Linked DNA regions of Drosophila melanogaster. The protein of the gene in region 1 interacts with the protein of each later gene in a biochemical or structural test. Each region holds a gene or a part of one and is shown on either strand. Other genes may lie near its edges. The genes, in order: siz and Arf6.

Region 1 (8,689 bases):
CACTGGATCACAACCCAGAAAAGGGATCAACTTAATTGTGTTAATTTGCAATCGAGAACTTTGGAAGGAAAGTTATGGTATCTAAACACTTCCGCATCTGAAATAATTGAGAGAAATTACTGGTGATGGATAAGTACTTTGTCATAATAATTGAAATAGCAGAAGGAAATTGTATTCAATTTGTTTTTCATCAGCTTGAACTTATAAATTGTTAGGTCTTTAGAAAATACATTTTAGAAGGCCTATATACTTCAAGGATTACATATATTCAATTTACATATTACATTTTAGTTCAAATAGTTTTAAAAGCGGTAATAGGATTCACCACAACACACAACATTTTAAATAGTTTCTTCTGGACTTTAACCCTGAGGGAAATAATCGAACAAACCACAAAAAATCTTTCGCAAACTATAGAAAGAAATAGAAGTACTCCCTTTACTGAATTGGGTTAACACCACAAAAAAAGTGACCGCAATTAAGAAACCATCTGGATCTGTGGCTGAAACAAAGGCTTCAGTGGGAATCACTTAAAAATCAGCATGTTATTAGTGCAATTACTATCTCATTTTCAACTCCGCCCCCATTTTCAAAGTAGTTCCCATCTGCTGGTGCATTTAGATCATCCAGCCCCCAACTTGCATGTCCATTTGGCATATCTTTTAATTAAAACAAAAGTTTTGCTCTCAAACCTCAAAGATGTTCGCAGCACGCATGGCTTCCATTTTGACCATCAAACTTCCAGTCCCCCGGTATCCCCCCCCCCCCTCAACTACGCCCCCTTTTGTAATAAGGCAACCGCAGTCTTCACTCCAAATGTTGCATGCAAATGAAAGAGCAGAGTAGTAGTGGCAAGAAGGCCAGAGAACTACTTCACCTACTAAAGTTACAGAATACAGTACACACTCATTAAGTAGTCGGAAAACGTTATTCCATCCGCCCCATCTTGACCACTCCGCTCCACCCCCTGGAAAGCCCCACCATTGCCATTTTAAAAGGGGGGTCGTACGAAATTAATAGACTCTCCACTACACTCGCTTAATTATCACAAAGAGAGACCCAGAGCAAAGTTAAAAGCACTTTTCAAATGGGCAAGTGTTTTCCTCCGCCCCCTTTTCCGCATTTCCCATTTTTCTGTGGTGCGTGTGTCTGCTTTATTAGATGATGATAACTGGCTAATGAGTTGAACTCTGCGGCAAGCCAAGAAACGACATAGTTGACTACACTGTTAAAAAATATAATTATTTTCGGGTTACTTTTAAGCTTTAAGAATATATGTATAAATCAAACGAAAATGTGTATAATCATTTTGTTTTTGTTTATTTTTTAATGATGGTAATAAATAAAATGCTTTAATTGTGAGTCACGTAAGTTCTCCCAGTGTACAGAGAGAAACAACAACATTCATGGAGCAGCGGAACCGTACTCATAAGACAGAAAGCTACCCGCACAATTTCAACAACATCTCTGATCTTGAGTTTAATGTCTCATCGTGACATACTCTTTTCCATAATGAAAGATATGCCAACTAGGTGCGTGCAGCTTATCTTGTACAACTCTAATCTGAAAGTGGATCTAAGCCGTGGTAAGCATTTTTACATTACATTTAGATTCGCTAATTAAAACGTAAAAAATGGTGGTACAAATGAGGAAATGTACCTTATATGCAGGGAACGTTTGATAAGCAAATCCTGCATTTTTCCCAATTTCATTTATGCTCTATCAACTAAATTATCATTATTCAAAATAATCTGATCTGAAAGATTAATTTATATATAAGATATCTGAAGTGATTATTCATATAAAAACGTGACAATAAATAACAATTCTAAAAGAGTATCTATACATTCGACGAATGCGAGTTTAAAAGTTTCTGGTGTTTTGTGTTTCAAAGTTTTGGCGAAGGTGAGCTGCAAAAACCGAGACATAAAAAATAAACAGAAAACGCTAAGCGAATAATTGGAAGAGCCCACGATTCTACTACTAGCAGACCTTAGAGGCCAAGAAGCCCCGAAAATAAAGAAAACGGTTAAAAGATAACTGCGCTTTATTTGCGCCCACTTTGTATATGTATACATCATATATACGAAAATATCTGTATTTAAAAGATTGTCTGCGGTGGGGCATGACCGCATGCAAAGCAAAGTCAGGTACGAATATTAAGATACTCCCAACTTTATTCGACTGTCAATGGCAAAATGCCAGGCGAATGGTTTATAATATTTCTTTTCTTGTTTGCCCATGCATTTGTGAGGTTAATCTCCCCTGGAAAGACCCCAAATAAGTGATCGAAACTCGGTCTTAACATTGAATTTCCCTGAGACGGCTCTTATCGCCCGAAGTAGCACTACACATTAGTTATCAGCAGAACTAAACAAATAGAGAATTCTGGTCGATCGATAAGCGGAGAGCAACTGTAGTTCTATCACAGCACAACTGACTCATTCAATTTGGCAACGAAATAAATACAACATTATCTATTGTTCTGTTACAGATAAGCATGAGTTTTTTATGTACGGAAATACCTATCGCCACGGTGCACTTCATTTTGCGACCACGACTGTGTCGATTAGCCCACAGGTAGACCGGCGTGCAAAAAGGGGTTGCAAAAACCAGAAGTCGCACTCCGACTTGTCAGCCTGCAGCTGCCAAGGTGGCAAGGACAAGGGGACGAATGAATGTGACTCAACGAGAAGTTGACTCAACCCGGGGGCAAGGAAACATTGGAGTTGGGGGTCACGGAAATGCAGCCGAAAATGGCGATCCAAAAAAAAAATCAATGATTTTTGTGGTTTTGTTTGAGTGCTGAAGAAGAAATGGTACTTTGGCTTCAAGTTTTTGTTTTAAGATCACACAACCACAAAATATAAAGTAAGGATCTTCACTGAATGAATTATGTATTCCAGCTCTTTTTCTTATCAGCTAAAATGTTAATTTCTAATCAGAAAAGGGAAATAAAAAACTGGCCTATGTGCAGATTAAATTATGGTATAAATAAAACTACAATATATACAGATATATCAAAGGCCTTGACCTGAAACTTAAAAGCGAAATGCCGCTCTGATAAGAAGCATTAAAGAAGAGCTTTAAAAGTAGGTAGTATAGCAGAAAAGATTTTAAATATATATTGTTTCAAAATATAATCAATTTAAAGATGAATACTATCTCCTGACTGATTATAATTACTTAATGGAATATTTTGGCTCTTAATGAGATCACAAAATAAACAACCGCATTTTACAGAGTATTTAGTGAGAAATTGTTCTTTGTAATATGTAAAATGCTCGTTGACACATCTAGAACAATATCGACAAAATTCTTTTTAAATATGTTGAAATCAAATTGCTGAACATTGCAAATTTTTTCTGGCCCCCAAATGCCATGAAAATTATTTTGCAACCGCAATTTTAAAGTGCATCTCTTCCTATTGGAAGTTTCCATTTAAGCGGGATGTCCAATAGGAAAATATGATATGCCATTAATTCACCCTTATTTAACAGATATTTGAATATATTACTAGATAGTAAACATTGGTGGGCACTCACTTATCATCGAGATCGACGGGCAGTCGCTTGAGCTCCGACATGTCCAGCTCCAGTCGCAGATTGGACACTTCACAGAGCAGGCGATCGCGTTCCAGACTCAACTCCTTGATCTTGGCGTGCAGGGCATTGTTCTCCCGGAGCAGCTCGTCCACATTGTAGGGCATCGCATGCACATGGTGATGGGGCATGTTGATGGAGAGGGGCAGGGGCAGGGAAACGGGTCCAGGTGGGGCGACACCCCCAGCGGAACCGCCCGGCCCTCCTTGGTTTCCCACAAACATTATGGAGCTGGCCATCAGCAGGGACTGCGTGGTCTGATGCAGCAGCAATTCCTGGTCGCCATCCGAGTTCTGGGATAGATTCTTCAGATCGGCCTCGGACATGTTTTGTTTATAACCTTAGCGGGGATCGGCTGCACTCCTAATCGATGTGCTTTTGTGGCCAAAACATTATAGCCCCGCCACGCACACGCACTCGCGCGAATGAGGGAAGGTGGTGGAGAGGGTGATAAAACAGCGAAACAGGCAGAACCACTTTGAATCTCACAATAAGAACTGAAAATGCAGCTTGCTGCGAGTTGAAACTTCACTCGTATTGTAATTGAATGACCTTCGTATATTATACTTCAGAGCCAGCACTTCGAATCGCGAGCAACAGTTGGTGCGGATCGGAGGGGGATTACGAATATTCTCGGAATTACGGATTTTCAATTCACGCGCGACGAAAAACACGACGCACTCGTCGTTCGACGTTTGGAAACAGTGTGGACGTGCTGGGGGGCACCGCAGTGTGACCATAGAGCATGCAACTCAAAATACGCTATCGTATTCAAAAAATATACCGCATCAAATGTGGCATTTTAAGACGACCGTTTTATTTTAAAATATATTGTTGTTTTCATCTTATTTAAGAAGGGCATAAACAATCTTAAGTTTATGCTCATTATTATACATAAGCATTTTCTTTCTTTGATAAATTTAAAACTCATTAAATCTAAATATGTGTGCATTAATTAAGATTTATTTTGGAACTGCCAATGATCCATTCCTGGTTGATCTAGTTCACCACAAAAATATTCTATAAAATTGGTATTGTAATAATAAGCCGACATGAAGAACCAAAAAAATATAACCATTATACTAACTGGGCCACCAGGTGCAAATTTAGCTGGGAAAATATTTGCTATTTGTTTATTATGTATGTAATCATGATTTTCAGGAGTGGGTAAAACTACACTGGTCCACAAAATATGCTCGGCTCTGCAGGATAGAGGACGCATTCTTCAAGGATTCTACACAGAGGAAATGCGAGGTGAGGGCACCAGCCAAAGAATCGGCTTCGACGTGGTCACGTTAGCCGGAAAACGAGCAATCCTATCTCGCAAGAATCCCGGGGACCAGCTGCGACGACCCAAAGTGGGAGAGTATTCGGTGTTTGTGCAGGACTTCGACAGTCTCGCTCTGCCAGTACTTGGCACACAGGATTCCCAACCAGAGCCGGATCTCCTGGTCGTGGATGAAGTGGGCAAAATGGAGCTGCTTAGCAAGCGATTTGAGTCGGCCATGGCTGATCTCCTGAAGAAAAAGCGGGCCCTATTGGTCACCATACCCGAGAAATCAACATTGGCTTTGGTGGAGCAGCTGAGAAAGTCAGCAGGATCCAAGATTTACCAGGTGACCAAATTCAATAGGAACGCCTTGGCTGGAGAGATTACAGAAGAGATTACAAAAGCACTTCTTTAACAAAGTAAAATTGTTGGTCTTTTTAATAGTGCCTAGATGTATAATCGTGCTGCCGATTCTCCGCCGCTGGGAGATCATCATCCGATGCTACGCATCCACGGAGCCAGTTGTTGAGTGATTCATTGCGGGCGGCGGCATGGCTGAAGTCAGTGACTGGGATTCGCTCTTCCTCGTCGAACGTTTCCGAACACGTTTGGTTTCCCTAGCCCAGTCCATTTCATTGTAGTGCTGCTCGGAAGCGGTCCAGTGGTACTCCTGTCGGCTGACCAGTTCCGGGTACTTTTGCTCGAACTCCTTGTCGGGTGGCAGTAGCAGCTCCCACCGTTTTGTGTTATTCACCCGGGCCACAGTCTTCAAAACGTCAAGTGTTTCCGCAGGAGGTAACTGGGTGGCGGCCATTACCTGAGCTCGGAACAGGTAGGGCGTGCGGGAGAAACGAAAGAGCTGCGGATGGATTTGAGGAGATTAGTACAAGATAAGTGATCGCTACACCCATACTATAACTCACTATATAATCTCTGGCGCGAATCATCTGCTCTGCGGACACACCGTTCGCATGGGAAAGCACCTTCTCGGGAAAGACCACCTCGGATTTCGGCACCCAGTTGCCGTGCAGTAGGATGCCCACCTGGGGCAGCAAAGCCAGCACCTTGTCGGCAGCCACATGCGGATCCACGTGCTCCGCGAGAATACTAATGACGTCGCTGAACGAGAGCATCCGCGCATCTCTCAGTAGCACTGTAAGCTGTTCCAGCAGCGGCATAGACTTAAGCATGGCCTTGTTGTAGACGGGAAGTACTTGGGCGGCAGCAGAAGCAGCTGCTGGGGCTACCGTCTGCACATGCTCGTCGTAGGGCAGAAGCTTTCGAAGATATTCGTCAGGAGCGAGAGCCAAAGAGGAACTGCCGTGATGACTGGTGGCAAAGAGCTTCTGGCGCTCCAGTTCGGCGGTGGGCGTGCCCCTCGAGTGCCAGTAGGCCTCGCACCACGGCTCATCCGCAATTCGCTGGACGAAACTGTCGTAGGTGCCGACACGTTGCTCCTTTCCGCTGTTTTTGGCATTTCCTCGTGCAAATTTAACCGTGACCTGCTGCAGCACCTCGTCATCGTCCGTGTCCTCCGTTTGAGCCTTCAGTTCCGCCTTCTTGCGCTTGTCGTCCTTATCGAAGTGACTGAGAACGGGTCGCATTTGGACTATGGATGTAAGTGGCGACAGATGCACCTCCCGATCCGTAAAGATGCCCACTATGTACTTGGCCACATCGGTTATGGAACGCGAGCTTGTGAAGGCCTGTTTGTCCATGATGCCACGTTTGTAGGTGGGTCGCTCCTGACCCTTTGGTGGAACTGCTCCATAGGTGTTCTTTCCGTCGGCGGCCACCGCAAATTGCTCGCCCTTGAAGCGATCGAAGTGGGCCGACTCAATGTCCAGGCCGAAGTCCACCTTCACCTCCTGGGCGATTGGTTTTACACAACAATTGACAATCACGGAGTCATCGTGGTTGGGGAGCTCCGTTTTCGTGGGGTATTGAAAGAGATACAGGCTGTCCCTCAGGTTCTTCGACAGGAATACGGGAATCTGGTGGGGATGGGCGGGCATTGTTCTCATGGTAATAATAGTGCCACTCACATACTCACCTCCTCCACGACGGGATCGTCCTCGTCTTCCATAATTTAAATTTCGATTTGATAGTTTTGTCTGCCGACGGTGCACGCCTAAATATCCAGTGTGACCAGGTTGCCTTCCTTCGGTAGCCAGCTCTGCAAACAGCTGATCGGCACAGTGGTATACAATCACTCGAACTATCTCTCATTAGGCTCGAGATTGAATAATACATTTTCACTATGAAAAACATCAAAAAGTCATAGTAATTTAAAGTGATTCCCTTTTAAGAAGACTAAGTTGTATATTAAATATAATAAATAATTTCAATACATATATGTATATAGAGCTCTGGTTCTAATCTTAAGATGTGCACAAATTATTAGAACTTAGCCGTGAGATACGATTAAGTACTGTGATTATATATGCTTGCCTTAAATTAAGCGAAACGAGTTTATAGTTTATATTAAACATTTTCAAAAGTTCTTCGGTGCATAAATAATAAACACTAAATTTAAATAATTTCAAATTATTAAAATATATGTGTCCCCATCCACTGTGCAAAGACAGAATGCAAACACAATTTCCGCCTACCGATTGGCGATACCGATTTTGTAATCGACCACGACGCCCGGGGAAGATGTCTCGACCGACCGCAGCATTAAATTCATATACCCTATGCTCTTGGCCGCATACATAACCGGATCATGTTCACGGTCACGTCGGAGATCTACGGAGAGAACAACTACCAGACGACCCGCGATGGAGGTAAGGTGTTGTCGAAGTTCCGTTTCGTCTATCCGGAGGAGAAGCTGGCGGGGATTAGGACGGATAAAGACGGCGACCTTGAGGTGCCAAGGCCGAAACGTGGCGTGATCGAATTGGAACATTCCGAGGCCACGGAGCTCCGGCTGGTGGGCTTGCAGGTGTGGCGAGGAGCCCTTCTTCTGGCAGACTACCTTTTCTCCAAAAAGGATGAGTTTTCCCAGAAAACCCTAATGGAACTGGGAGCTGGTGTCGGCCTGACCAGCATTGCCGCCGGAATACACAATAACGGAAGGATCTATTGCACGGATGTGGACCTGGGATGCATACTGAAGCTGATCCGCGGCAATGTCCAAAGAAATTCAAAACTCCTCCGCGCTACGATATCAGTTCTGGAGTTTGATTTTCTCGCCTCAAAAGAGGATCACTCGCAGGATCTGCTGGAGGCCATAGACAATAGCGATATAATCCTAGCTGCCGATGTCATCTACTGTGATACGCTAACCGATGCCTTCATCTGCGTCTTGGATAACCTCCTGGATCGAGGTCGCCAAACTGGGAGACCCAAAACGATATACATGGCACTGGAGAAGCGCTATGTGTTCACACTGGAGGATTGCGATTCGGTGGCTCCCATGTATGAGTACCTCATCCGGCAGACGGTGAACAAGCCGTGGATCATGGAGCACCTGCCTCTGGATTTCCCCCAGTATTTCGAGTACGATCGCTGCAAGCAACTGGTTCTGATGAAGATCATCAGTCGTTAAAATGCGTAAATCACACATAAAGACGTTCCGCTTCTTAGATTCAAATGGCCCCTCGATGTACCTTAATAATTTAGTTAAATTATGGCTTTGTTACGTTAGGTTGAGATATCACCGGAATTAAACTAATAACATTGATTGTGACGATATTTTTTTTGGAAAATTATTGGCTGCAAATTGGGACTCTTGCCTTGTATTTCAAGGCTGCGAAAAAAATCTTACAGTCTCGAATGTTTCCAAATCCTCCAATTCTATGTTATGTAAATATGA
Region 2 (8,689 bases), on another chromosome or scaffold:
AAAGTGGGATAGGGTATGTTGTGCTCATTTTTTAAATGCATATGTGCTTCATTTTATTGTGTTGTATCCTTCAGCTCACGCGCACTGTTATTAAGGACCAGCCATTGGAAATCTTCGGGTATTGGCAAACTCAGGAATACGAGCCCCCAACTGCAGAGAATGGAATTGTGCCGCGAAATGCCTACGGCAATGTTGAGCTCTTTAAGGACTGCATGCTGCCAAAGAAGACGGTGCATTTGAGATGTAAGAAAGGTTTCTTCTCACCAATTTATTTAAATAACCTCGAAATTCAATTATAGTGCCCGGCTTGATGCGCATCTGTAAGAAGCTGAATATTGATTGTGCCAATGCAGTGGTTGGCTTCGATTTTCATCAAGGCGCTTGTCATCCCATGTACGATGGCTTCATTGTTTGCGAGGAATTCCGCGAAGTGGTCACTGCTGCCTGGGAAGAGGATCAACAGGTACAAGTTCTCAAGGAGCAGGAGAAGTACGAAACCCGCGTGTACGGAAACTGGAAGAAGCTGATCAAGGGTCTCCTCATTCGCGAGCGACTCAAGAAAAAATATAACTTTTGAATTCTTTGGCCTCTGATTTATGTTCGTATTATTGTTTCGTTTAAAGGCATTTTGATATTTTTGTATTTAAAACGTAATTTGATTCCAATAAATTGTACACTAGTTGTTTAGAATTCGTTTATTAATCGATTGTTTAAAAGTTCTTTTTTTTCGTAAATTTACATAGCATATTCGTTAACTTTACTTCGAATTTTTTGAATTAAATTTTAATTTACAAAATTATTTTGTTTTCAGAGTACGTTGAGAGATTTTTAAGATACAGAACGTTTGAGATAATAAGATTATGGTTATTTGGGTTATAGATCCGTCAATTTATTTGCATAAAATAGTATTTAGGCGCGATTTTAAATCTAAAATATAGTTTTTACAACAGCATGGAATGCATTAGCAGACTAGAGAAATAAAGCAATTTCCAGCCAAACAGCTCGCATTTGATCGTTTGGCAAAGGTGCAGATAAATATGTAATAAAATATAAATAAAACCTTAATTCAAAATAAGAAAGTACAAAATCCGTATACGTACAAAAAGAAGACTTTGGTTATGTATTCTGCCATTCACCTCTAGCAAGACAAATCTGAGCAATCGACTGAGTTTATGGTTACATCAAGAGCTGCACTTTCATGAAATGTTAAAACTTAAAGGAAAAGTTCGTGCATCGAGGGCATGGGGTTATCGTGGAGTCAAAGTTTCTTTTAATGCCAAGATGATAAAATTGTTTATTGTAATGGGTTTTTTGTTCTGTTGAATTGGAGAAGTTCTGCATAACACTCATCGAATATTTGTGAAATTTCAGTAACTCATACATAACGGTTGCCAAGCTGAGATGACACTAAGGTTTCATGGAAGCGGGGTAGGATTGCAAGTCTCTTAAGCAGGCATTGATGAAGTCAAGCTCGCGCCCGTGGAACCAGTGGAGACAGTCCCGCTGGGCGATCTCTGGCGCTGTGGGCTGCTTTGTGCCTTAAGGTAGTCCACGAACATACGCCTGGCCTGATTGAGAACCCGAGTGACGTCGTGTTTCCTCACCATTTTATCAAAGTGCATGGCAATCTCGTTGTAGTCCATGCCTGCCTTCATGATCGTGTTTCGGTGCTGTAGCAAAAGTGTTAGACAGAGAAACATGAGGAATGCATTACCTCCACCGAATTCTGTAGGTGGAGGCAATGCGGCCGCAGTGGTATTCACTGCACTGACTCCATTAAGATGGGTTGAACGCTGGGGGGATCGCGTATAGGCGCTCTCGTCATCTGCATTCGTGGCGATCTCCACCAAAGGCGAAACCTCCACTAGACTCGGCTCAGTGGAAATGGGCAGGATGACTTCGGGCAAACTGTTGCTGTTGCGCATTCCCAATGGACTGTGCCCATCCATAAGTTGGCTTTCGTCGATGAATGGATTAAAGGCATGCGACTCGTTTTGCTGAACGCTGTTACTCTTAGCCGCCAGTCGCTGTCGACGACGCATATGTAGCTCACTGACATCGGGACAGGTTATGATCTCGTTCTCCTTGAGATCCTCCACTAAGTCCAGGGCGTCCTTGTCCAGCTTCTCGTACTCGATGTCTTCCCGTTTCTCGCTCTCCGTAAAAGGCAGCCCAAAAACTTGTCGATCTAGATTCTCGGCCTCTAGGCGCAGCTCACGCGTTATGGCCGTCGTCATGGGGTAGTACTCCTGGTCGGGATCTTGATCCGGTGTGTTTGAATCGTCGGGGTCGCATGGGTGATTGCTTTCCAAATCTAGCTGTAGATTGTAACTGCTCAGTTCCTGTGCCTGCTGAATGGTCGTCGCAGCCGTTGAAGCGCTCCAACTGGTTTCCGGAAGTGAGGAAGAATCAGATTCGTCCAGGGAGCTACCCATCCCACTCTTGGTTAGCTGTACCACGGGCTTAGTAACCGAAATTGGACCGGATGTTTGTTGCGGCTGAGTGGCAAAACGATCGGATATACGATTCTTATTAATAGTTGCAAAATTTAGGAATTCATTGAAGTTTTTTACAAGCTTTGGCGGCATCTTCCGATCACCATCATCTTCTCCTTCTCCATCAAAAGAGATACCAATACGACTGCTTGCCGCCAGCTTTTCCTTGAGATCCTTAAAATGGCCACCACTAGAAGTGCTTACTCGCTTCATACTTTCACTCACTTGACTAGCATTAGTAGCTAGCTGTTTGGCGATGATATTGCTCACGGTCATAATGTTTTTGTGCTGCAGCTTGGCCTTCCTGTCACTGGGGTCCTCGTCCAGATTCGAGGAAGACGAACTACACAGAAAGGCTCGTCCTGGTGAAACAGGAGGTGTGGTTTCTCTTTCTGGTGCTCTCTGAGCATCATCCTTAAACGGATTTGTCTCCAAAAAGCTTGGCGACTCCTTCCTATCAAATACATCATCATCTTCGGTTTCCTCGCCGGCGGACAAGTTTTGTTCCAACTTGACATTCCTATTATCCAAAGCGCCCTCAATAAGCGCCAGCATTTTTGACTCGTCCAGACTTTGATGGACCTTGGCCGAAGTCCGTCTTTGGCGGCGAGCAGCGGCTGTCGCATGACGCGACATATTGTCGTCTAGGCTGTGATTCAGCCGTTTTGTATTGTCCAATCCGTGACTGGTTCCCACCGAAGAACTTAGTGAGCTCAAGGAGGCTGAAGAGCTCTGACGGCGCAAAGCGCATACCTTGGTGTAGGGACTTTCACGCGGTTTTGTCAGCAGATAGGAAGGACTGGTCGGCGTAGCGCTGTAGGAGCTGGAAAAAGTGCTGGCGCTATTGGGCACGGAGGCATCAGTAATGGGTACGAATTCCTGTGAAAAATCATGGTGATTAGAAATTAAGCAATTCCCTTTGGGTTTCGCACTAACCTTTTCAAAGAGCGCCAGCTCTTTCTCCCCATCACATCGATAACGAAGTGAACTCCACTGCACCTCCAGCATGCGAAGGGCATCCTCAAAAGGAAACTCCCGCTTTAGCTCCAGCAGTAGCCAACGGTAACAGAAAAGTAAGTCGTCCGCTTGCTGCGACTTGAGGTACTCCCAGAACTCAGGATCATAAAAACTTAGCGCCTCCGTTAGGTGAGCAAATTTCTGAGTCATTGCAATCCCATCCAGCATGAAGTTTCCACGCATACGTGACATTATCGCACAAAAGCAGATGTAGGCCTGTGCCTCGTCGTTCATGGTAACCAGTAGCGGGGAAGCAATGTCCGACATGCCTTGACAATATGAGACCGATGGATGGTTTAGTGCATATGTGGTGAGGATATTGAAAAGCGCAGCGATGTTCTGATTGTCGTCGCTGCCTGCATAAAATGGATGCAGGCGGTCCGTGCGGAGAACATCCTTCTTTACCATGCTCGTTACGTAAGCCAGTTCTCCAGCCACACTGCCTCGCTTCACGGCCGCTTTCCATGTGTCTCTCAGACGACAGTACTGCTCAGACTTTCGTCGCATGAATTCCATACGCTGGTGTCCATCAAGTGCCAGTCCGTTAGCGCCACCGGGATAAACGTTAAGCAGATGTTTCCACACAACGCGCCGCAGACTGGGGTCAATGCCTCCTAGGAAGATGACCCTATGCAACTCGTCCTTGCGTTGAATCTGACCAAGTGCGTCCAGAAAGAGCCGGAACTCGCTGTCGCACATGGGCGGCCGTGGCGGTAGATTGGCCATATGCTCCTCGGATAAGTTAAACGCTTTCTGCACTATGGAGAAGGTTTTCTCCATCTGATTCAGAATGGAGCTGCCCAGTTTGGTCTGCATGTGCTGGACATATTTCTGGGAGACTCCTAAGGACTGCAGTGGTGACATAAGCTCGCGGGCGGGTACAAAAGGTGCAGGAGTTGCGGGAGCAGGCGCTCCCGTTATGGATCTACCCGGGGAGGCCTCGGTCTCACACTCCCTGACCACCGTAAATGGCTTCACATCGATCTGCAGGGTGAGGCAGGGTTCTGAGGCCGTCTGAATGGAAATGTTGTGAATCCTCAGAAAGGCGGCATCCAGATCCCAGTCGGAGCGCACGGCCAGGTAGATCTCGTTGCCCGCCGGATCAAAGGCCTTGTACTTAATGGAGAAGTCCGACTTGACATCGAAGGCCTTGGCCAGCAGGGAGTACAACACCTCCAGCGTGGTGATCTGCGGGTCCACTGAAAACTTTCGCCACTCCGGCCGAGCAGTGGGTTCGCATTTCTGTGGGCGATTTCAAAAAAATTAGATTGAGGAACACAAACTAAGCAGCCCTTTTGTTGTCTCGCCTTCTGGCCACCTTTCACTTGCCTTCACTTTCACCCGAACCGCCTCCCGGGGGCAAATGCCAGCCATGTTTTCCGAGTCTGTTCTGGTCGACGACTAACTAAGTTCCATTGTACCTCTGAGCGATGTCAGTATCGTAAGTATTGCTCAAATATAAAACAATACAAAAGAAGGAAACTGAAATCAATCGACTTGATTTCAATCATCGGTTTCAGTGTGGCCGCCCTAGGGCTTTGTAAGTTCACCAGGGCTACATTAAAATACCAAATCACTAAATACACAAAACAAAAATTTTTAAAATTAAAAAAAATTAACAAATTGTTGAACGTACGAGGAGAATATATCAGCTACATTGTTTGCTAAATTAATATGAATAATAAATGAATATAAGAAAATAAATCTTTTTCAATTTTGAATTGCAAAAGTAATAACTTATTGGCCAAAAAATCACGATATCCCCGCCAGTCACCGTTTTTCATCTGATAAATTCAGTATTTTTGGTATTTATCCTCCGCATTCTTTGCATTTTTTAGCGTATTTTCTGGAATTCCCGAAGATCTTGTTCCGCTCTGCGCTAACGGGCACATTGCTTCGTGTATGTGTATATAAATACAAGAAGATTAGTGCAAAATTGTTGTTGTTAGTTATAGTTTTTTGGCCGCCGTGTGCTAGCAAATGCATTTTATGCCCCGGCCCGCGCACTTTGGCACTACATGTTAACGGATTTCAGGCTGGCGTGGAACGAATTGGGCTGGAAAGCGGTGCGTAACGGCGGTCGTCGGAGACTTGGGTGTGTATACATGTGTATGTGTGTTACGGGCGTGTTTGTGACGTAGGCAAGCAGCAGCGAGAGAGCGAGCGAAATTCCGTAGAATCCGAAAACCATCCGATATCGTTGCTCCCAAGCCGGCTTTACTGGGTCGTCGAGGGGTGCGGTGGCTGTTCAGGGGGCGGGGGTGGAGCGGTCGGATCCACCCGCCCATTCAGTGGAGCCAGCGATAAGCCCGCAATTGAGATAACTCTGCCTCAATTTGCGAGACACTATAGTGTGTTTATCTGTCCAATTGTACTTCCTATGTGTAAGCATGTGTGCGTGTGTTTGTGTGTGCGACTGTGTGCTGCAAGCTCTTCACTGATAAATTCTGCCTCTCCACTTTTTTCTCGCTTTTTAGCAACGAGCTGATGACAATGTAAGTGAAATTATTATGCAAAATAATGGTCTTAGCTTCCGCCGTCGTACAAGCTCTATATGGCCACCAAATTGCCTGTGCCCGCCGTATGTGTACATATGTAGCTACATTTGTATGTTCATATATCACTTACGCGCCTTCGCGCGACGGCGTTCTTATATCATAAATTGATATGTTAACTGCAAACTGTATTACAATGGCCCTATTATCTGGAAATTCACTGACCCTGCCCTGAATCTCGCCCAGCTATTCTTATCGATATGCTTATTTGGAAGACCTCGCCAACTCTACTCGAACTGTTTTTCAGATTGGCTAAGGTTTAATGGATGACACATCAGCACCATGGGAAAGTTACTATCAAAAATTTTCGGCAACAAGGAAATGCGAATTCTCATGCTCGGACTGGACGCGGCTGGAAAAACAAGTAAGCACATAAACAATAAAGGGTTCTCGAATTCGATTGTGGGCCTGATTAGTACCCATTAGTTTCATCAGTTTCCTAAGTGGAAACCAATCCCATTTAAAAAATACTCTTGAGGCGAGGCAATTATTGTTTTGTTTTTATTCTTATTGTACTTTGAAAAAATGTACAATATAAAGACCTTTCAATACGTACACCAGTACTATCACTAATCGAATTCGAGCTATTTTGTTTATACATCCTTTGCGTGTCTAAAGTAATATTGTTTTTGTCCACCCACAGCGATTCTGTACAAACTGAAACTTGGCCAATCTGTTACAACGATACCCACTGTGGGCTTTAATGTGGAAACCGTCACCTATAAGAATGTCAAGTTCAATGTGTGGGACGTCGGTGGGCAGGATAAGATTCGACCGCTATGGCGACACTATTACACGGGTACACAGGGTCTGATCTTCGTCGTGGATTGTGCGGATCGGGATCGGATAGACGAGGCGCGCACGGAGCTGCATAGGATAATTAACGATAGGGAGATGCGCGACGCCATCATACTGATATTTGCTAACAAGCAGGATCTGCCTGATGGTTAGTATAGTGCTCAGCCAATTGTTTCCATCCGCTTATTGTTCTCTCTTGCAGCAATGAAACCCCATGAAATCCAGGAAAAACTAGGTTTAACTAGAATAAGAGATCGCAATTGGTATGTACAACCATCATGTGCCACATCCGGCGATGGCCTGTCCGAGGGCCTCATTTGGTTAACGTCGAACCATAAGTTATGAGAATCGTAATCGAGCATTTTCTTATATGTATGTATATGGCATGTATTATTCGAAGCGAAGCAAAAGCGAAAATATTCTATTTTATTTATACAAAGAAAACCAACCGCAAGCGCATAGTAAAAACTCAATTCGTAAAAACGAACGTACATAAATTACAAATGTTAAAAATGGTATATAGAAGTCAGATATATATAGTAATTATATATACTCTCAATTAACCAACCAATATTCTCACTAGTAAAAATACACATACCTACAAAATAAAAGAAGCATCAAAATAAGCAGCCGGTAAATATCCGTAAAGTAAATTATGCGTGAAGCACAGAGACATAAAGCAAAACATCAACGGAGATTAGCCTTAAGTAAGTTTTTCTTGTAAATTATATTGATGAGACACGTAAGCAATAAGTTGAAAGCTTGTTTATTGCAACTGTTACTATATTTGACTTGAGCAAGGGTGTAACGAGTCTTAAATAAATTGTAAATAAATATTCAAATTAAAGCCCATATACAACAACAAACGAAATAAAAGAAAACACCGAACAAACAATTGAACAAACCTATAGATTGCTATTTAGATTAAAACTGAGTCTTCAAAATATAATGAAATAGTAACTGTGCCTTCCTCAATGTGTGTCTATGATCCCTCATTATTTTCCCCACTCCAACAGCTAATTTTCTCAATCTGATATCCTTCGAGACGAAGAAGGTCCCTGGATTTGCGAGAAAGGCATATTCTGACTTCAGTGTCAAACGCATTTGGTTTGTATTGTGCGCTCAATTTGAAAGGTAAACATGCCACATTCAGTGCCATAATTTGCAGGGTAAATGAGCCTGGGTATACCTGAGCATGATTTGTTCAACACGGCGTTCAATAATTTACCTTTGTTTTGCAATCATCCCCGAATTGTCCGAAAAACTCCTTGGTACATCCTTGCATGAATAATATAATTTATTTTTTGTGGGTGTATGTCTTGTTTTATACCTTTACCGTTTTTATCAAAACCAACCTATTCATAATACCCCGTAATATCTCAGTATCTAAGATTTTTGTTGCTGAATTATAATTATAAATTTTAAGTTATGAAACAAATCATAGGTTTCAAAGTTATTTTCTGTAAATATGTTTTTGTATTATTATTGTATTATAATAATAAAAATATATAATAATTAGTAGAGTCACGTTTTACAGATGAAAAGGTTGTGATGAAGATGACGAGTTCCCAAATAAACGTCATCTAGCGATCCACGAAGTGACGAAGCGCTTATTGCCAAGATAATCTTGTTAATATTCTCACATGAAGTGACACATCCTATGAAATTTGTATGTAGAATTAAACGATTCCGACTTAATAAAGTGTATATATTGTTAATATATATATTATTAGTCAGGATCAATAGCCGAGTCAATCTTTTCTGTGTGCAGAATCCCAGAGTGTAGTATTTCCTTGGTTTTGCGTCTCCTCAAGATGCGTGTTT

The links.
Region 2: of the proteins of siz (region 1) and Arf6, one has a biochemical effect on the other in vitro, tested with the Drosophila melanogaster proteins (one study listed by BioGRID).

What each region holds. Positions count from the first base shown.
Region 1 is NT_037436.4:21,030,158-21,038,846, reverse strand, and holds the start of siz (schizo), read right to left. Parts: upstream 4,313-8,689; 5' UTR 3,929-4,312; coding exon 3,546-3,928; intron 1-3,545. Other genes in the region: CG10581 (uncharacterized protein), read left to right, coding at 4,655-4,700, 4,764-5,287; Polr3E (RNA polymerase III subunit E), read right to left, coding at 5,375-5,731, 5,796-6,866, 6,926-6,958; CG10584 (uncharacterized protein), read left to right, coding at 7,598-8,422.
Region 2 is NT_033778.4:15,317,135-15,325,823, forward strand, and holds Arf6 (ADP ribosylation factor 6), read left to right. Parts: upstream 1-5,366; 5' UTR 5,367-5,578; exon of another isoform or gene 5,579-5,607; intron 5,608-5,668; exon of another isoform or gene 5,669-5,896; intron 5,897-5,989; 5' UTR 5,990-6,007; intron 6,008-6,314; 5' UTR 6,315-6,349; coding exon 6,350-6,431; intron 6,432-6,710; coding exon 6,711-7,013; intron 7,014-7,067; coding exon 7,068-7,210; 3' UTR 7,211-8,356; downstream 8,357-8,689. Other genes in the region: Xpc (xeroderma pigmentosum, complementation group C), read left to right, coding at 1-13, 75-243, 300-577; CG8155 (uncharacterized protein), read right to left, coding at 1,446-3,374, 3,432-4,754, 4,842-4,886. UniProt on the Drosophila melanogaster protein: GTP-binding protein involved in protein trafficking; may modulate vesicle budding and uncoating within the Golgi apparatus. Promotes cell movement and remodeling of the actin cytoskeleton during compound eye morphogenesis.